4 linked regions of the Schizosaccharomyces pombe genome follow. Each later gene encodes a partner of the first gene's protein in a complex. Each region holds a gene or a part of one and is shown in the gene's direction. Other genes may lie near its edges. The genes, in order: cph1, cph2, alp13 and pst2.

Evidence for each region.
Region 2: the proteins of cph1 (region 1) and cph2 are in contact, whole or in part, in a cryo-EM structure (PDB 8I02), measured with the Schizosaccharomyces pombe proteins. Residues at the interface, in NP_593079.1 of Schizosaccharomyces pombe: Leu175 (codon at 2,551), Ser176 (codon at 2,554), Ile177 (codon at 2,557), Gln180 (codon at 2,566), Leu334 (codon at 3,028), Val336 (codon at 3,034), Ser337 (codon at 3,037), Cys338 (codon at 3,040), Leu339 (codon at 3,043), Tyr340 (codon at 3,046), Lys341 (codon at 3,049), Val342 (codon at 3,052), Glu344 (codon at 3,058), Gly346 (codon at 3,064), Lys349 (codon at 3,073), Asp350 (codon at 3,076), Tyr353 (codon at 3,085), Lys379 (codon at 3,163), Ser380 (codon at 3,166), Ala381 (codon at 3,169), Leu382 (codon at 3,172), Leu383 (codon at 3,175), Pro384 (codon at 3,178), Ala385 (codon at 3,181), Arg386 (codon at 3,184), Leu391 (codon at 3,199), Pro392 (codon at 3,202), Leu395 (codon at 3,211), Arg396 (codon at 3,214), Leu398 (codon at 3,220); in NP_592978.1 of Schizosaccharomyces pombe: Tyr464 (codon at 3,409), Arg465 (codon at 3,412), Leu466 (codon at 3,415), Pro467 (codon at 3,418), Ala470 (codon at 3,427), Lys471 (codon at 3,430), Val472 (codon at 3,433), Ile473 (codon at 3,436), Arg474 (codon at 3,439), Val475 (codon at 3,442), Gly476 (codon at 3,445), Leu477 (codon at 3,448), Pro478 (codon at 3,451), Arg479 (codon at 3,454), Gly480 (codon at 3,457), Phe481 (codon at 3,460), Lys484 (codon at 3,469), Asn486 (codon at 3,475), Ile487 (codon at 3,478), Val488 (codon at 3,481), Ile489 (codon at 3,484), Asp490 (codon at 3,487), Asp569 (codon at 3,724), Leu571 (codon at 3,730), Glu572 (codon at 3,733), Asp574 (codon at 3,739), Val577 (codon at 3,748), Leu578 (codon at 3,751), Ala579 (codon at 3,754), Leu580 (codon at 3,757).
Region 3: the proteins of cph1 (region 1) and alp13 are in contact, whole or in part, in a cryo-EM structure (PDB 8I02), measured with the Schizosaccharomyces pombe proteins. Residues at the interface, in NP_593079.1 of Schizosaccharomyces pombe: Cys123 (codon at 2,395), His140 (codon at 2,446), Ser142 (codon at 2,452), Cys143 (codon at 2,455), Leu144 (codon at 2,458), Glu145 (codon at 2,461), Pro147 (codon at 2,467), Leu148 (codon at 2,470), Thr149 (codon at 2,473), Glu151 (codon at 2,479), His173 (codon at 2,545), Ile177 (codon at 2,557), Trp178 (codon at 2,560), Gln180 (codon at 2,566), Leu181 (codon at 2,569), Tyr182 (codon at 2,572), Trp184 (codon at 2,578), Ile185 (codon at 2,581), Asn189 (codon at 2,593), Pro190 (codon at 2,596), Ser191 (codon at 2,599), Gln192 (codon at 2,602), Tyr193 (codon at 2,605), Leu195 (codon at 2,611), Pro196 (codon at 2,614), Leu199 (codon at 2,623), Val200 (codon at 2,626), Phe203 (codon at 2,635), Ile206 (codon at 2,644), Ser207 (codon at 2,647); in NP_593394.1 of Schizosaccharomyces pombe: Leu180 (codon at 2,186), Leu182 (codon at 2,192), Val183 (codon at 2,195), Trp186 (codon at 2,204), Glu187 (codon at 2,207), Thr190 (codon at 2,216), Lys191 (codon at 2,219), Asn221 (codon at 2,309), Glu222 (codon at 2,312), Ile223 (codon at 2,315), Val227 (codon at 2,327), Gln230 (codon at 2,336), Ala231 (codon at 2,339), Gly234 (codon at 2,348), Leu235 (codon at 2,351), Ile237 (codon at 2,357), Tyr238 (codon at 2,360), Lys241 (codon at 2,369), Cys242 (codon at 2,372), Gly244 (codon at 2,378), Asn245 (codon at 2,381), Met246 (codon at 2,384), Leu247 (codon at 2,387), Leu248 (codon at 2,390), Tyr249 (codon at 2,393), Arg250 (codon at 2,396), Arg253 (codon at 2,405), Gln254 (codon at 2,408), Tyr256 (codon at 2,414), Leu257 (codon at 2,417).
Region 4: the proteins of cph1 (region 1) and pst2 are in contact, whole or in part, in a cryo-EM structure (PDB 8IFG), measured with the Schizosaccharomyces pombe proteins. Residues at the interface, in NP_593079.1 of Schizosaccharomyces pombe: Glu344 (codon at 3,058), Leu347 (codon at 3,067), Ile348 (codon at 3,070), Asp350 (codon at 3,076), Phe351 (codon at 3,079), Leu352 (codon at 3,082), Ala354 (codon at 3,088), Ile355 (codon at 3,091), Glu358 (codon at 3,100), Ala359 (codon at 3,103), Phe362 (codon at 3,112), Asn363 (codon at 3,115); in NP_593646.1 of Schizosaccharomyces pombe: Ser257 (codon at 3,009), Phe261 (codon at 3,021), Lys265 (codon at 3,033), Tyr274 (codon at 3,060), Leu278 (codon at 3,072), Leu281 (codon at 3,081), Asn282 (codon at 3,084), Tyr284 (codon at 3,090), Val285 (codon at 3,093), Arg291 (codon at 3,111), Leu294 (codon at 3,120), Phe312 (codon at 3,174), Leu315 (codon at 3,183), Thr316 (codon at 3,186), Ser317 (codon at 3,189).

The regions. Positions count from the first base shown.
Region 1 is NC_003424.3:797,522-801,513, forward strand, and holds cph1 (Clr6 histone deacetylase-associated PHD protein-1 Cph1), read left to right. Parts: upstream 1-1,845; 5' UTR 1,846-2,028; coding exon 2,029-3,243; 3' UTR 3,244-3,460; downstream 3,461-3,992. Other genes in the region: CCR4-Not complex subunit Mot2, read right to left, coding at 1-708, 797-976, 1,027-1,079; ATP-dependent RNA helicase Upf1, read right to left, coding at 3,789-3,992.
Region 2 is NC_003424.3:543,576-548,259, reverse strand, and holds cph2 (Clr6 histone deacetylase-associated PHD protein-2 Cph2), read left to right. Parts: upstream 1-2,000; 5' UTR 2,001-2,019; coding exon 2,020-3,843; 3' UTR 3,844-4,133; downstream 4,134-4,684. Other genes in the region: SWI/SNF complex subunit Snf5, read left to right, coding at 1-1,596.
Region 3 is NC_003424.3:1,586,471-1,590,199, reverse strand, and holds alp13 (Clr6 histone deacetylase complex, chromodomain subunit Alp13/Eaf3), read left to right. Parts: upstream 1-1,622; 5' UTR 1,623-1,648; coding exon 1,649-2,577; intron 2,578-2,626; coding exon 2,627-2,711; 3' UTR 2,712-2,872; downstream 2,873-3,729. Other genes in the region: thi4 (bifunctional thiamine-phosphate dipyrophosphorylase/hydroxyethylthiazole kinase), read right to left, coding at 1-100; centromere localized protein Cnl2, read right to left, coding at 608-737, 809-1,245; SPOM_SPAC23H4.13C (uncharacterized protein), read right to left, coding at 2,873-3,256, 3,337-3,507; SPOM_SPAC23H4.21 (uncharacterized protein), read left to right, coding at 3,727-3,729.
Region 4 is NC_003424.3:2,158,456-2,164,599, forward strand, and holds pst2 (Clr6 histone deacetylase complex subunit Pst2), read left to right. Parts: upstream 1-2,030; 5' UTR 2,031-2,116; coding exon 2,117-2,147; exon of another isoform or gene 2,148-2,193; coding exon 2,194-2,374; exon of another isoform or gene 2,375-2,452; coding exon 2,453-5,468; 3' UTR 5,469-5,623; downstream 5,624-6,144. Other genes in the region: ER zinc importer, CDF family, Zhf1, read left to right, coding at 357-1,520; Polo kinase Plo1, read left to right, coding at 5,785-6,144. UniProt on the Schizosaccharomyces pombe protein: Has a role in chromatin assembly and chromosome segregation. Involved in the deacetylation of histones.

The DNA.
Region 1 (3,992 bases):
GCAGTGTTATTAGTGGATAAGGAAGGTGTCATTGACACTTGTGGATGAACATGATCAACTGTTGTAATATGCTGATTTTGTGCAGCTGGACTACTATTAGCCTCTTCTAACGGTGTTTTCGTAACAGGAAGTAGAGGTGTTTTGAATGGAAGAGAAGGAGAAGGAGAATGAGTAGCACCATTTACCACATTAGGTTTAGTGGAAAGAGGACGGGTATGTTGAAGAGATGCCAAGTCTTCTTTAGTATAACTATCCACCTCGTCACCGGGTTCATGTAAATACATGCAAGAAGGATTGGGGCATTGCTGATTCCGTAAATAAGAAGTGCAATATTTAGTGGTACCATAAGATGCGCGAAGATGTCGCCCATCACTTACGCTGCCATCAATTGCAGCAATCGCTCGTGCAGCATCTTCTTTTCTTTGGTATGTAATATAAACTCCAACATGACCATTTGCAGAATTTGCAGCAGCCTTCTTATTTATTGCAATTTTAATAATCTTTCCGTATTGACCAAAGTATTCAGGTCCCTTCAGAACGTTGATATTCTCCTCATTTGCAACTTTGGGAGAAAGGCCGTTTACATAGGCAAGGTTCTTTTGTACAACACGAATATTTGCAAGATGCTTCCTGTTTGAAAGCTCGACTTCCTTCCTCTCTTTCTCGCGTTTCTTCCTCTCGTTTTTTCGATGTAAGTCCATCTTCCATCTAAAAACATTAGCGACATGTTTAAAAATAAAAGTGAATTTAAACAAGATTATGCTTAAACAAGAATTCTATAATCTGAATTACATACTCCTCTGCCGTGACAGGCCGCCATTGAACATTTTCTTCAGTGTACAGACGGCGACATGCAGGACAACGGCCATTTAGATCTTCTTTGATATGGTGCCAGCAAAATCTACAAACTCTGTATCCGCATTGGCATGGTTTGAAGTTTTTATCAGAGATATCAATTTCTTCCATACATAGAGGACTGTTGCAATTGTCAGTTAATTTTGATACTAATCGGCTAGTAAAACATACCAACACATGTCATCCTCATCTTCTGAAGAATATATCTCTTGCGTTTTTAACATTTTGTGTGAAATATGTCAAATCTCCGTCACAGTGCTCTCCAAATCGATACTGTTTAAGGTCGCTCGTTATACAATACAGAGGAAGTCTTCAAATATCTTAAATCAAATCTTTGATTTTAATTTAATTTAGTTAATTCCCTTAATATTCATTAGACTTCAAACAAATATTTTTTAAAGGGCAAACCGAGTTGTGGTTGGTTATAAGTTTACTTACAACTTAGTGTAAAAGAAGGAGGCAATGACTAGGTGAGAGGTTGGATTTGAACAGTATATACCACACGAAAAATAGCAATTAATAGACATGAATTAAGAAATTTGAGAAAATTCTTATTCCAAAGGTTTTTGGAATTGTGTTTGAACAACAAAAAGTACCCTTAAAAGTTTCACCGTCTATAATTTCATCTTGATAATTAATTGCAGTAAACGTTTGTAAACGAATGTATTATATATACAACTTTTTCACGTTGTGGTCAAATTCTTTAGTTATTTCATCTTCTAAGTAATTAGTGAATATATTGAATTGACGAAAAAACGATGAACAACATAATAAGAGGCATAAAGTGCTTCTCTACTTAATTTACGCTCCATGTTCCATCAAATGGATAATAGTTTTTAACAAAATGTTCAAATATTTTACATATAGAAGGGAATTTATTCTTATGATAATCATTTATACTAAATGCTCCTCTCGAAAATCAGATATCTTTAAGTAGTTTTCTAAGTCTAATTGCAACGACGTTTGGCGTTCAAAGACTTGTTGTAACTTAGCATCTTCATAACAGCGTTGCTTCACTATAATATACTTACAACCTCGACCATTGTTCTTTTTTACGATAACCATTAATTTTACCTTTAATATTCCTTAAAACATTAAGGATAGTATTGATATTTCTAAGTGCTAACCGTCGCGTATTACATGTTGCTTTGCTCATAGCATGGGAAGTATCTAATGGCATCCTCTATAAACAATTCATCTCAACCTACAGTACCTTCAATTTCTAATAATAGTCATGGCGACTCTTTCGTAAATGAAGGTCCCCCTTCTAATTTTAAAAATAATTCTTTAACATCATCAACTCACTCTTCAACTGACCATGTAAATGTCTTGCCAATTAGCCAAGACAAAGAGATGGATATAAGTTCTCCAGTGAAAAAACAAAAAGCTAGTTATTCGAATAAATCTCCAAATAAAGCACCTATTCAAAAAAGCCGGGGTAGTTCCCTAAAAAGTCATCTCGAAACCGAATCTCAACAAACTCCTGTAAAGCGACGGAGACGAAAAGCGACTATACGCAACGTCGACTATTGTAGTGCATGCGGAGGAAGAGGTCTTTTTATTTGTTGCGAGGGATGTCCTTGCAGTTTCCATCTTTCATGCTTGGAACCTCCCTTGACTCCTGAAAATATTCCAGAAGGATCTTGGTTTTGTGTGACTTGCTCAATCAAATCGCATCACCCTCCTAAGCACCCTCTTAGTATATGGTCCCAGCTTTACGATTGGATTGATTCTCAGAATCCCTCGCAGTACCGATTGCCCGACGACCTTGTGCATTATTTCCATGGAATATCTCGTGGGGATACAGGTGCTTATAAGGAAACTGAAGGAGAAATGGATACTGACGAGTTTTCTGCTTTGCCGACTGGCTCCTCTATCACTAATCTAGCTTACTGTGGTTATTGCTCTAAGCCATCAATGGGTGCTTGTTGGGTCTATGGTTGCCAGCTGTGTGACACCTTCTATCATAAAAATTGTAAAGAGCATGCTAAAAAATGCTCTCATGACTCCATTGGAAAAAAAGGTATGAGAGTACCAAAAAACGCCGTGGTGATAAGGACGCCCTTGGTGTTGGATACAACTTCTAATACTCTTAATCCTAAAGTCATGATTTCAGGATGGCAATTTCTTATGGGAGAGTTTCCAAGTGATGAACTTCTCTATTTCCCAAGATTACCCGTGAGTTGTCTCTACAAAGTTTCAGAAGACGGTCTCATCAAAGATTTTTTGTACGCGATTGGCATAGAAGCTAAAAAGTTTAATAATGAAAGGAAAAAACGAGAGTTAGAGGTTATTCCTCCAGACGTAAAAAGCGCACTACTTCCTGCGAGAACGCACCCAAACCTACCTATTGCACTACGCACTTTATTCAATAAGGCACGCACTTGAATTTTTACGATATTTTTACATTTTGTATAAAATCAGACTACGTTAATCTAATCTGTCGTGTTCAAATCGTCAGAAAAGGTTGTTTTCTGTTATTTTTTTGCTAATGTTGTATTTATAAAACCTCTTAGAACTGGCTATCTGTTGTAATTGGCTTATTTTACATTACTTTTCTCCATTAAGGCTTTTAAAAAATTTTCGTTATGCAATTAATCATTGCAAATCCTTCCTAATAGGGCAAAAGTTCTATTTTATACTAACAACTTCTCAATACTTAAATTTTATACGCGTATTGTACCGTGTGAGTATATATAAGTATATATAAGTATATATAAGTATATATGAGTAAGATGCATTTACTAGACAAAGAGGAATAAAATAAAAGAAAGTGATAAGGAAAGGTTCTATTACTAAAGTCTATTTAACAGCCATATCAATGGTTTAAAACGCTTACAGACCAAACGGTCCATAAAACTTGAACACCAAAAATATCAACAAATAAAAGATATGTTGGCATTCGTAATTACAAGTAAGCAAATACTTATTAACTAGAACCTAGTAGGTTCGTCGAACTTGCTTTCATCATCACCAACCTGACTTCTAAAGTCTTCAAAGTCGGTAGCGTTGCTTTCTCTTCGTTTGTATTGAGCAAAGACATTCCATTCTTCAAGATACGAGGAAGAGTATAAGTTCGGAAGATTAGAAAACGAAGGTAACATGGCAGAACCGGCATTCTGTATAGGAGATAGTGA
Region 2 (4,684 bases), 250 kb from region 1:
TGGACCGCTTTGAAACCCAAAATACTATTTCCATCGCAAAAAAGAAGGGTTAAGGGTCGATTTACTTTCCCTTTCAGTCGAAGAAGTAATTTAGCCCAATCTAAACTTCCGGTTGATTTGGTGCCTATTAGACTTGAAATAGATGCTGATCGCTACAAATTAAGAGACTCCTTTACGTGGAATTTGTACGACAAGTGTATTTCATTAGATCAATTTGCTGAACAGATCTGCATTGATTATGATATTCCACTGCATAATGTACATATTGTTCAAAATATTTCAAAGAGTATTCAAGCTCAAATAAATGACTATGAGCCGCGTAAGGCTCAGTCTAATTTAAGTTTTGTTTCAGATGTTAGTTCGTCTACCTCAGAGACTGTTTATGCGCACGAACCGTCAGATTCGTTGGCTAAAGCTTCCAAGCAACAAATTCCAACTGTACAAAACGATTTGAGGATATTGATCAAGCTTGATATTACCATTGGTCGGCTGAATCTTATTGACCAATTTGAATGGAATTTGTTTGCTCCTGAAAGCAGCGCTGAGGAATTTGCTACTGTGATGTGCTTAGATCTAGGATTGTCAGGAGAATTTTGTACAGCTGTAGCTCACTCAATTCGTGAGCAGTGCCAAATGTACATAAAATATTTAAGCCTTATAGGATATTTGTTTGACGGAAGTGAAATCGAAGACGAGGAAGTTCGCTCTTACATTTTACCTCCTCTTAAAAACACACTACGGTTCTCTGACATGGAATCCTCCTCCTTTGCCCCAATGATTTACGAGCTAAACGATGCTGAAATGGAACGGCAGGATAGAGGTTATGATAGGGAAGCACGTCGTATGCGGCGTAGACAAGGAAGGGCAAAACACGGGATTATGTTACCAGATCTTCGGGACATTCCTAAAATACATCGAAGTCTCTTCCCCAGTTCATCGGTCCCCTCGGATGATGACTTTATGCATGCTTTAAGTTTATCTACAAATTCTGATGGCGAGACACTTAACGAAATTAATACTAATAATCCTGAAAGAGAACATTTAATTGTGCGTCTAAAAGTTGACTCTCAGAAACTAAAAATAATCGTTGAACAATCACAAACCTTAACCCTCAATAACTTCCAACAACGGAAACTCACTCCCTTGCCCAATTCCATGAGTTTTGACTCACTAAACGAATTTGAAAGTGAAAGGAACACACCTTCTACATATGGGCAAAATATTTCGCCATTACCACAATTTTCGTCTCCTAGCCTTTCTTCTGACGCGTTTCTTACTAACAGCAATTCTTCTGAATCCGCTTTGGTTCATATGCAAAAGTTAAATTTACCTGATTTTACCCCTTCCTGGGTTAAACGATGTGTTATAGAGACATTTGCAAAATTTCCGAATGATCGATTTAATGTTATCGTAAAACCTGCTTTAAATCCTGCTGAAAGGATGACTGTGAGAATATGTTGTCATGATTGCATTAATGAGTATTTTACAGCCGGCCCAGGATTCACGTTTGGCAATTTCCATATCCACTTGTTGTCAAGCTCGCATCAACAAAAAAAGGAGGTGAGAATGAATACGGTTTTGGATAGAAATACTTAATACAATTTTGGAAGAATCTTTATCAAAGACCATAATCAAGATTTGACTCACGTTATGGATAGCTCGACGGACCAGTTTCTTTCAGTTGATAGCTTCTGTTACAAATGAGGCACTCTATCCTCAATACGATTAATTTATTAAATTTGAGGAAATACACTGTATATTATTCAAAGGCTTATTAATCCTTAATGTTCAGTCATGTGGCTAAATTTAAAGTATGTACGGGTAACCGATGAATCAAATTACTTTACAGCCTTCATTTCAGTTTTTGGAAATTATAATATTTTTGATATTTAAACAAAATAACTAACAAATCTTTCTTTTCGGTTTATAGCAGTCTTTCCTTGTTTCTCGTTAAATTCATCTTTGCTAGCATAAATCTTCATTGTATGTTCACACTACACGACGTCCACGTTTTCATCAATGGATGCAAAACCATGGAATCATACATCAGAAGCCTTTCAAGCTTCTATTTTGGAAGATCTTAAAATTATTCAAAAAGCCGGTGCTGAAAGGAATGCAAAGAGTTCGCATGGGTCAATAAATTCCAGGAGCGCTTCACCGAATAAAGCGACCTCGAGAAGAAATAGGGCCCAAAACGGCAACTCTAATGGTAGAGCCTCAGTTGATAACTCTGACGATGGAAGCAAGGATGATTTAGATTATTCTCCTTCTGTTAAGAGAAAGCATGTGAATGGTGAAGGTGCAGAAAAAGGTGATCATGATACATCTAACAACGGACCTAGTATTACTAAGTTAAGAAGAAAAGTTAGGAGAACCTATGATACTAAGGATGGATTTGTGGCTTGGAATACATTGGATGATGACTTTCGTCCTATAGTACCCGATCAAGAGAGATCACGAAAAATCAACCCCCAGAAAGGAAATAATAATAATCTCCTTAAAGAGAATAAGTCTCTAAAAACAACGGCTAAAGACTTATCTGATATCTCTAGTTCATCGATGAAGAAAGCGAATAACTCTTCCAAACCTCTTTTTTCTGGGAAGCTAACTTTCAAGGCTAACATTCCTGTTCCTACCTCTGAGGTCGTAACGGAGAATAATGTTACACGAAATGTTACCGTGTATTCCAACCAAAAACATTTAGGTAATGAATCAGAGAATTTTAACGACATGGAGGGCCGGGCCGAAGACATTAGTAGCAATGAATTACTTCCTACCCCTGAAGAATATCCATACAGATATAACAATGATTACTGCTCCGCATGTCATGGTCCAGGCAATTTTTTGTGTTGTGAAACATGCCCGAATAGTTTTCATTTTACTTGTATAGATCCGCCTATCGAAGAAAAAAATTTACCAGATGACGCTTGGTATTGCAATGAATGTAAACACCATAGCTTGTACAATGAATTGGATGAGCAAGAAGAATTGGAAAGTAATGTCAAAGAAGAAGGAACGATGGTTGATGTGTGGATGCAACTTTGTACATATATTGATTCTCACAATCCTATTCAGTTTCATCTTCCTCATTCAATTAGCAGCTTTTTTAGAGGTGTCGGAAGTGGAGTGATGGGTGAATATATCGAGACGGATGTTTTGAAGCATCTTAAATCTAGCCGAAGAAGCAATGGAGAAGAACGTGATCCTTTGCTTTTGAAGAGTAAAAGTGGTACTCCCATTTTATGTTTTCGTTGTCATAAATCGGCTCTGGTCTCTCAGAGTATACTAGCTTGCGATTATTGTAACTCCTACTGGCATCCCGATTGTTTAAATCCTCCACTCGCAACTTTGCCTTCGAATCTCCGGAAGTGGAAATGTCCTAACCATAGCGATCATGTCACGCCTCGGTATAGGTTACCTGAAAAAGCAAAGGTTATTCGTGTCGGTTTACCTCGTGGTTTCAAAAATAAAGGAAATATAGTTATTGATGAAAATGAGGATGAACCATCTGTGCAAACAATACAACTACAGGGAAAAATACGTGTGGTACCTAGTAAACCGTTTAAGTTGAACTTTTTAGAACAAATACGTGATAACGTTATTAATTTACGTAAAATGGTTGAGCAGGATGAACAACTATGTATTGAAACCTTTTCCAAATTTGACTTTTATGCAACCCGTGATTGTGAATTGCCTTTGCGAATCCTTTGCGATGTTGCCAATGACAACTTAGAAAATGATGATTATGTTTTGGCTTTAAGGGATCTTTTGAGAATTTCTAAATGGGATCCTAATCAACCCGTTCCTGCACCTTTTGATTTGGCTAACTTATTAAGCTATTGAAAGATAGCATAGCACCTCGATTCTTTCAAGTGCGGTGTCTTCGACGTTGAAATGTCTTAATATTTATGCCTATCTAACCATGAATGATACGATTTCATATATGAATGGTTTTATTTTTTTTCTTTATTTTTGGTATTGCGAAGGTGCTTCCAATTAGTGAATTGTGATCGAAGTGTGGTATTCAAAAAGTCTCCTTGGGAAAGGTGCAGGCATTTTTCCTTAATTGTAAATTTAATTAAGTTGTATATGCAATTATGCTGTGCAACAAATACTTTAACTTATAGTTGAACTGCAAAATTAAGAAAAGTTACGTTACAAAATGGAGTACAGAAATAAGCCAAATTTTATCACGTTTAATTATTCTTATTTGAATGCTTTAACGTGTAGTATTTTTGTATATTGAATTATTAGTTTCACCGTAGAACTGTTGATACAACTAAAGAATTCTTTGGGATAAGTTGAATTACAAGCAAATGATTGCGATAAACTGGATAGAATGCAAAGCGATTTGCAATAGTACTTAAACAATAGCACAGAAATAATAAAGAAACTGTATGATAGTGTAATTTCAAAAGTAGTTTGCTTACGTATTATTAACATTTTTTTTATTCCTTTTAATGTGTCATTATTAGCACATAAGGAAAAGTTGCATTGCTCTAAAATAAAATTACCTTAAAACATGTCGGTTTCATCATCATGTCTATCATTGCTTTGTAACTTAGTAGATGCTTTATTGTGCCTTTAGCTTGTTTTTATTTTCCATATTAGTTTGTTCTAAGAATTGGGTAACCTCGAAATTTATTACAAGGTCAATTAATAGGCAATACGTTTTTTGTTCCCT
Region 3 (3,729 bases), 790 kb from region 1:
CCAAAATTCCCTCTTCCACCTGACGTTCTATAGTAGAACCTGGGGCAATTAAACTAGAGCTAGTTACAAGGTATAAAGAATAGTCAATTTGACGTTTCATGTTTGGTATAAAAGTTCTTATATAGAAGTCAAGTAAGTAAACAAAATCCTAGAAATGCCAGATTATGTTGCGGACACCAAAAATTTGACAGTTCAATCTTTCTATGCTAAGAAAAATGAAAATTGAATATTATCCTAATTTAATCAAGAATTTGGCGAAAGTGTTACAAACTATGTTTGCAAATTTTGCTCCATCTTTTATACTGTGTTAGTCATGGTTCGGATGCGTGCTACGACAAGTTAGTGATAACTGATTTTAATCACTCTATTAAAATGTAGTTTGTCAAATGGAACAAATACTGCATGCTTTTGAAGAAAATATATTCGCATTACTTTGAACAGGTTTTAATGAAATGAGTTTATAAAGGAACAGATATATCTTATTAAAAAGGTGCAGAATAACGTTATATTTAATTATTAAAAAGAAAAAAAAATTCATTCATTGTAATAAATACCCGTTAAAGCTATATTATTGAATAAATATGGAACAGCTTAACGTTTGAAGGTCCTAGTCTAATTCTTCTATTGCAGAAGGTGCTGCCTTTTCTAAACTTTCAATTAAAGATTCTACAAGATGAATTGACTCGTCAACGTTTGGCTCTTTTGACCATTGAAAATCGCTAAGGGATGCAATCTGACTAGAAAGAAATTATTAGCAAGCTAAATAAAGCTCAATTAAAACAACCCAAATTCCTAATCAACCTCATACCTATTCATTTTAAGAGTCAATTGTGTGCAGCGCTCTTTTTCCTCATTTAATTTTGTATAAGCAGATTGCACAGCTTCAGAAAGCCGCTCATTGATTTCACTTATGTCCAGCGGTTTTGCACTATGTGATGTGTAAAATTCTTCTACATCGTGCAATGTAGAGGCATGACTGACCGTTTGCAGTTTCTCAACATTTGTTGCCAACATCCTATCTATTCTGCTTTTGCCGATAACTTGACTCTCGAGATGGATGTTAGCTCTCAATTTTGCTAATCGCTTTTGTCTTTGTTGTGTACAGTATTCGTATAAACGCTCAATCAGTGGGTCTTCTCTGTATCTCTGAGGAAACAGTTGCCGCCATTGTTCTAAGCTTATAATAGACTGCAACCGCCCTTGAGAAAGAAGATAATCATTAAGTATTTGTTCCTCCATATTCATGAGCAACCTTTGAGATATTAGTAAATTGAATAAATGAAACGCAGCATTTGATGAAAACTCATGTAGAAAAGCTAATTTTTCCTAAAGTATCCTTTTGACTAAAGCATTTTTTATAATGCGTATTGGGACGTATTTGCTGAACATAATGAAAGTTTATTTTTAATTTATCATTAAAAATCCTAAAACAGTAACTTACTGATAGCACTTTCTCCAAGCATTTTGCAGATGAATGAATTTGTTGCTTAGATAGTATCCTGTTACACCCACCGTTTGTTAATGGGTCTAGATAATTTTTAAAACAAAATAGCTAACTCCTTCAAAGTAGGATAAATTTGCTAAGTGTACTGTTTTGGCACACGTCCTCTTACTTCTAACTCACCACCATACCTACAACGTTGTTGGAATGGCCGTGTCATATAAGGTGAATGAACGTGTACTATGCTTTCACGGCCCGTTACTCTATGAGGCTAAAATTGTTGATACTGAAATGAAAGGTGATGTTACCACGTACCTGATTCATTATAAAGGATGGAAAAACAGTTGGGATGAATGGGTTGAACAAGATAGGATACTACAATGGACAGAAGAAAATTTAAAGACTCAGAAAGAGTTAAAAAATGCCGCTATCTCTACGAGACAAAAACCGACTTCTAAAAAGTCCGCATCCAGCACTTCGAAACATGACTCAACTGGAGTTAAAACATCAGGAAAGAGGTCTCGAGAATCGAGCACCGTAACGGTTGATGGCGATTCACATGAATTGCCTTCACGTATAAAAACCCAAAAATCAGAGTCTCCAATTCCTCAACAAGTGAAACGCGATGGAACAACCGATGCTAAAAACGAGGAAACTACTAAGCCCGAGAATAACGAGAAAGACGATTTTGAGGAAGAGCCACCGCTTCCAAAACACAAGATTAGTGTCCCGGACGTTCTAAAGCTATGGCTTGTTGATGACTGGGAAAACATTACCAAAAATCAACAGTTAATAGCTATACCGCGGAATCCCACCGTCCGGGCTGCTATAGCGGCCTTCCGAGAATCCAAGATTTCTCATTTGAACAATGAAATAGACGTTGATGTTTTTGAACAAGCGATGGCTGGTTTGGTTATATACTTTAATAAGTGCTTGGGCAATATGCTGCTGTATCGGTTTGAACGGCAGCAATATTTAGAAATTCGGCAGCAATATCCTGATACTGAAATGTGTGATTTATATGGCGTCGAACATTTAATTCGCTTGTTTGTAAGCCTTCCTGAATTGATTGACCGGACTAATATGGATTCACAATCCATCGAGTGTTTGTTGAATTACATTGAAGAATTCTTGAAGTATGTTTACTGCTTTTAAACTCCCCTACTATACTAACCATTTATTTAGGTATCTCGTTCTACATAAAGATGAATATTTTATTAAAGAATATCAAAACGCCCCTCCAAACTATAGATCTTTGGTTGGTGTATAAAATTATGATCGTTTGCATCTATCCCAAAGATAACTAAAACGGTAATCTAAAATATATACGTTTTCTTTTTGAGATATAATACACTATTATCTATAGAATGCAGTAGGACCAACATAAGGCATTCAGAGAATTCATGCAATTATTATGTTGTTCCTTAATATTCAGATATTAATCATTTTGCTCTTCAAAGAGACAATTTGCTTCTGCAAATTGCCAATTGGAGTATCAAATTCTAAAGATCCAGAAATTTGACTTCCAAACTGATAAAGTTCTGCATTTACGACACCTTTCATTGCCTGGATGCTCAGGTCTAACGAACTTTCTGCCGGGATACACTGCTGCTCCTGTTCAGTTATATTGGCAACTCTTCTCAATTTTTCTTTAATACAACTCCATTTTTCTATTGTTTTTAAAATTTTTTTATCGTCAACCCGATGTTGTAATGTATCAGTCCGCTTATTGAATCCATCCATAAAATTGTAATAAAGCTTTATGAGTGCCCGTCTAAGGGCCAATGTGTATAACCATTGAGGACGTATGTAATACTAGAATTTGGTGAGTTGGACGTAAATAAGAACCAGTAAATATAAAAACTAACCACAACTTGCTAAGAATGTGTACTTACTTTTGTAATAACGAAAGTCGAGAGACCACTGATAGAAAAAGTATATAATATGTAAATTAAGAAGGACAATAAGCTGGACGAAACTTGTATATTATCTGGAAAAGCTTTAACAGGCGGATTTTCTTTAGGAAGCAAAGGACTTTTGCTTTGAACAGCACTGTTCGAACTCATTTTTAGAATGATCGAAAATTTTGCACTAGTGAAAATATGGATATCAAACCAGTTGAAGAAGAAAATGATAAGCGTAAAAAAGATGGTTAAGCATATAGTGTTGCGGAATAAGTAGTTTGATTGTTCGAAATTAATACGAAGCAGTAAAAAGCAACTTTGCAAAATTAACAGAACAAATGAAATGAATAAGTTTGTTATATCTAACGGATTGTTATTAAAATG
Region 4 (6,144 bases), 1.4 Mb from region 1:
GTGTGATTTTATTTTTTCTTCACCGCTTACTTCTCAAAAGCCTCCTTTTTAATTTACTATCAAAAACGGCAGTTTTGGCAGTTTTTTGAAGGTTTATTGGTTTAATTAATTTATTCTGTAAAAACAAGGAAAGCAAAATTACAGATATTTGATTCTTTAGATTTTCTTAAACCCTCTCGCATCTTCGTCTTATTTTGGCTTTTTTTTTTGTTAAATATAGCAAGTTTGCGCCTCTTTTATTTAAATTCATTTTTAAAAAGCCACCTTTCATTCTAAATTTACCTTATTCCTTTTTCTCCCTGTGAAATTCAACCCTTACCATTTTTTTGAAATTGGTGACTTTTCGTTTTCAAACTATGTTCGACCTCGCAAGACAAACTCGGATTATCCTTTTATTAGGTATTGATGTTACTTTTTTCTTCATCGAAATTATTACTGGTTATGCGATCGATTCACTTGCCCTAATTGCTGATTCATTTCATATGTTAAATGACATTGTCAGTTTACTGGTCGCTCTCTGGGCTACTCGTCTAGCACATTCAACATCTCACGAACCAAAATACACATATGGCTGGCAACGTGCAGAGATTTTAGGTGCTTTGTCGAACGGTGTATTTCTCATTGCCCTTTGCATGTTCATTTTTATGGAAGCCATAGAGCGCTTCATTGAGCCTCCTTCTGTCAGCAATCCCACCCTTATGTTCTTTGTTGGTTCTTTAGGTCTGCTAAGCAATTTCGTTGGTATCTTTTTATTTCATGACCATGGTCATGATCATCCTCACACCCATACCGCTCAAAATTACGATTTTCCTGAAGAAGATGATATTGAATCCGTTTTACCTTCGACTATCGTTCATCGTTGTAATACCAGTCAACAAGAAGTCAGCCATACACACACTCAAGTCGCAGACTCTGCTACCGAATCTTCTCCTTTATTGAGTTACACTGGTAATCATAATGGTGCTGGTACTTCAAAGCCAGTCAACAACCATGGCAGTATTGAACAAGATGCACCAAAACAAACGAAGAAACGAAATTTGAATATGCATGGTGTCTTTCTTCATGTCTTGGGTGATGCTCTCGGTAATATTGGTGTTATTAGTGCTGCTTTATTCATCAAGTATACTGACTATTCTTGGCGTTTCCTCTTTGACCCATGCATTAGTATCCTTCTTACTTTCATTATTCTTTTTAGCGCAATTCCTCTCTGTAAATCCGCTGCTCTCATCTTATTACAAGTTGCTCCTCAAAGCATCAAACTGGATGATGTTTCCAACCTAATTAATCATCTAGACGGCGTGGAATCTGTTCATGAACTCCACATCTGGCAGCTTTCGGACGTTAAATTAATTGCCACTGTTCATGTCTGCGTTACACTTCCTGATGATAAGGGAGAGTCTTATACAAAGCTTACTACGGATATCCGTAATGTCCTTCAATCTTTTGGTATATATGATGTTACCATTCAACCAGAATTCGCCAATCATCCGCTTTTATGTGACCAAGGTTCCTCGTCTTAGTTTGCGAACATTATAAATTTAACGTGGTTAATCTATTGTGTCACATCTTTTGATTTATTCTTGAGGTAAAATTTTATATTGAATGTTTACTTTGTTTCATTTTTAAAGCGTAATTTCTTCTGCCATTCCTGTTCGTATTTAAAAACTTTATTTCACCATCTTGGTTGTTTGTTTTGCGAATGCACTTAAGTAAAGTAGTCGACAACTTAACTTTGAAAGTAGATAGTTTTCGATTTCTTATTCTTGATGAAGACGATGCATAGTTTCGGTTTTATTAAATCTCTATTATTCTTAGAAAATAATGTTTAGATGTAGTGTTTAATTATTTAAAAGGAATATTTTTTAACAATTATATTGGGTTTGATTCTTCTCGTTAGTATTTTTTCTAAAGTATTCGTTGTAAGTGTAAAACACCATCCAATGTGGTATTTGTGTTCATGTCTTGATAAATCATTTGAACTTTGGCTATCAGCGTCAGTTCATGTAATGCGTTGACGAGTTTGTGCGCTTAGTTGCATTTGCCGTTTCCCAAATCATCACCTCCAAAATAAACGAGATCGTATTCCTAGTCATTTGATGGTTAAAGATCAAAATACATGGAACAAACACTAGCGATATTAAAAAATGGTACGTATCAATTTAATACATAACTCATTTTAACCAATGTTGTTAGACAACTCAACGTTAGTGGCCGAGATGCAGAATCAATTAGTCCATGATTTTTCCCCTAATGGTACCGCACTCCCCGAGCTTGATATAAAGGCATTCGTTCAAAAGTTGGGTCAAAGACTGTGTCATCGTCCTTATGTTTATAGCGCTTTCATGGATGTTGTGAAGGCTTTACACAATGAAATGTATATATGGCTTATTTACTGAGTTGCTTTGAGATAGCTCTTTTTTTATTACTATTCACTTATTAACATGAACATTAGTGTCGATTTTCCCGGGTTTATTGAAAGAATATCTGTAATCTTAAGAGATTACCCAGATCTTTTAGAATATTTGAACATCTTTTTGCCCTCGTCTTATAAATACCTTTTATCGAATAGCGGTGCCAACTTCACATTGCAATTTACCACCCCATCTGGTCCAGTTTCTACACCGTCTACTTATGTAGCTACTTACAACGACTTACCTTGTACCTATCATAGAGCTATAGGATTTGTTTCACGAGTTCGACGAGCATTATTGAGCAATCCCGAACAGTTCTTTAAATTACAGGATAGTCTTCGTAAGTTTAAAAACTCTGAGTGTTCGCTTTCTGAGCTTCAGACTATTGTAACGTCTTTGCTAGCGGAGCATCCATCTTTAGCCCACGAGTTTCACAACTTTTTACCAAGCTCCATCTTTTTTGGGAGTAAACCTCCTCTAGGATCGTTTCCATTAAGAGGAATTCAGAGTTCCCAATTTACGTTGAGTAATATTTCTGATTTGCTTAGTCAATCAAGGCCGGACAACCTCTCACCATTTTCACATTTATCAAATGAGAGCAGTGACTTTTTCAAAAATGTGAAAAATGTACTTACCGATGTAGAAACTTACCACGAATTTTTAAAACTCCTGAATTTGTACGTTCAAGGGATAATTGATAGAAATATTCTGGTGAGTCGTGGGTTTGGGTTTCTTAAATCGAATTCGGGACTTTGGAGAAGCTTTTTAAGCCTTACTAGTTTGAGTCCGGAAGAGTTTTTATCTGTATACAATTCCGCTTGCTCAGACTTCCCGGAATGTGGCCCGAGTTACCGATTGCTTCCTGTCGAAGAACGCAATATTTCTTGCAGCGGTAGAGATGATTTTGCATGGGGTATACTTAATGATGACTGGGTCAGTCATCCAACTTGGGCATCTGAAGAAAGCGGTTTCATTGTTCAGAGGAAAACGCCTTATGAAGAGGCAATGACAAAGTTGGAAGAGGAACGTTATGAATTTGATCGGCATATTGAAGCTACTTCCTGGACAATCAAGTCTCTTAAAAAAATTCAGAACCGTATAAATGAATTGCCGGAAGAGGAAAGAGAAACATATACTCTCGAGGAAGGGCTAGGTTTACCATCAAAAAGTATATACAAGAAAACTATTAAGCTTGTTTATACCAGTGAGCATGCAGAGGAAATGTTTAAGGCCTTGGAAAGAATGCCTTGCCTCACATTACCATTGGTAATCAGCAGATTAGAAGAAAAAAACGAAGAGTGGAAGTCTGTTAAAAGAAGTCTTCAACCTGGATGGCGAAGTATTGAGTTTAAAAATTACGATAAGAGCTTAGATTCACAATGCGTTTATTTTAAGGCAAGAGATAAGAAGAATGTATCTTCAAAGTTTCTCTTAGCAGAAGCCGACATTCTACGATCGCAAGCGAAGCTCCATTTTCCTTTGCGAAGTAGATCAGCTTTCGAATTTTCTTTTGTATATGACAACGAAATAGTACTTTTTGATACTTGTTATATGGTATGCACATACATTGTATGTAACTCTCCCTCTGGTTTAAAGAAAGTTGAGCATTTTTTCAAGAATATATTGCCTTTACATTTTGGTCTTGAAAAGGATAAATTTTCGATATTCCTGGATCAAGTTTTTCGTGGTCCTGATTACGATGTGAATGCCCCGAATATAGTTGGTAACAAGCCTGTACGTCGGAAAAGATCTAATTCTATAACCCAGTTGACGGAATTTGTAAAACAACCTAAAATCAATGGTCAACGCGAAAGTCGTTCAGCTGCAGCTGCTCGCAAAAAAGAAGAATCCGGTAACAAATCACAATCTAACTCTCAAAACTCTTTAAGTGATGAATCTGGAAACGTAACGCCGGTTTCTAAGAAACAGCTTTCACAACCTGCTGCAGCCATTAAAGCCAGTCTCAAATATCCAAGTCATCCAGATAGTCTTTTGGAACATCAAGATCATGCTGGTGATACGGAGAATGAAATGCATGACGACGTCGATAAAGAACAGTTTGGATATTCTTCTATGTACGTATTTTTTAGACTTTTTAACTTATTATACGAAAGGCTTTATGAGCTTCAGCGTTTGGAGGATCAAGTGTCCATTATCCAACAGCGTATAATACCAAACCCAGTATCTCAAAAACAAAAGATTTGGCGCGATAGGTGGAATGATCTTTCAGATGTCCCTGATGAAAAAACTCATTACGAAAATACTTATGTGATGATTCTTCGATTAATATATGGGATAGTTGATCAAAGTGCCTTCGAGGACTATCTGCGGTTTTATTATGGCAATAAAGCCTATAAAATATATACTATTGATAAACTCGTTTGGTCTGCTGCTAAACAAGTCCACCACATCGTTTCCGATGGAAAATACAAATTCGTTACTAGTTTAGTCGAACAAAATAGTTCTGCTTCGCCTAAGAAGAATTATGATGACTTTCTTTATCGCTTGGAAATTGAAAAGCTTTTGAATCCTGATGAAATTTTGTTTCGATTTTGTTGGATAAACAAATTTAAATCATTTGGAATCAAAATAATGAAGCGAGCGAATCTTATTGTGGATCAAAGTTTGGATACACAGAGACGAGTTTGGAAAAAATATGTTCAAAATTATCGTATACAAAAACTTACTGAAGAAATATCTTATAAAAATTATCGTTGTCCCTTTCTTTGCAGAAATATAGAGAAAGAAAGAACAGTTGAGCAATTGGTTTCACGCCTTCAAACAAAGTTATTAAGATCTGCAGAATTGGTTTCCGGATTGCAAGCAAAATTATGTTTAGACTCGTTTAAATTGCTCTACTTACCACGCACAGAAGATTCTTACATAGATGCATCTTACCTGCGCCTTAGAGATACCGACTTCCTTGATTGCCAGAATAAAAGAAAACAGCGTTGGAGAAATCGATGGGAATCGTTATTAAAATCGGTTAGGGGAACTTCTGACAACACGGCAGAGGTGAATTTTGATGCTGACATTAATGCACTATTTATCCCATAATGATTTTAATGCAGTCGACCTACCTATTGATCATATTTACTTAAATACAATTTGACTTTAATAGTTTTATATTACTTTGTTAACATAACTTATCTTTCTAGGTATTTTATAATTTCAAGGATTTATGTATAGTACGAATTTACTGAAATTTTTGCACATAAGCTTTGTATTAAATTTTCTAAAGCCGTACTTCTGTAATTACTACATAAAATATTACAATGCACAGATTTTTATTTACAAACAAGCGGTTGTCGTAGCAACCACTTTGTTTACCCTCAAAAGTTACCACCTGCGTTTTGTTAGAAACAAATACCAAATGGCGAGTGTTGCAATTAAAGAGCCCAAAACTGCTATAACCCCGAAGAAGAAGTCCAAAGCCTCTCGTCTTTGCTTTACTCCGCCAACTAATCTTCATAATAATAAAAAAAATATATTCTACACTCGCTACGATTGCATTGGTGAAGGCGGCTTTGCGAGATGTTTTCGAGTCAAAGATAATTATGGAAATATTTACGCTGCTAAAGTTATTGCTAAAAGGTCACTACAAAATGATAAAACAAAGCTGAAGCTCTTTGGAGAAATAAAGGTGCACCAATCCATGAGTCATCCAAACATCGTAGGATTTATAGATTGTTTTGAAGATTCGACGAATATTTACTTAATTTTGGAGCTTTGT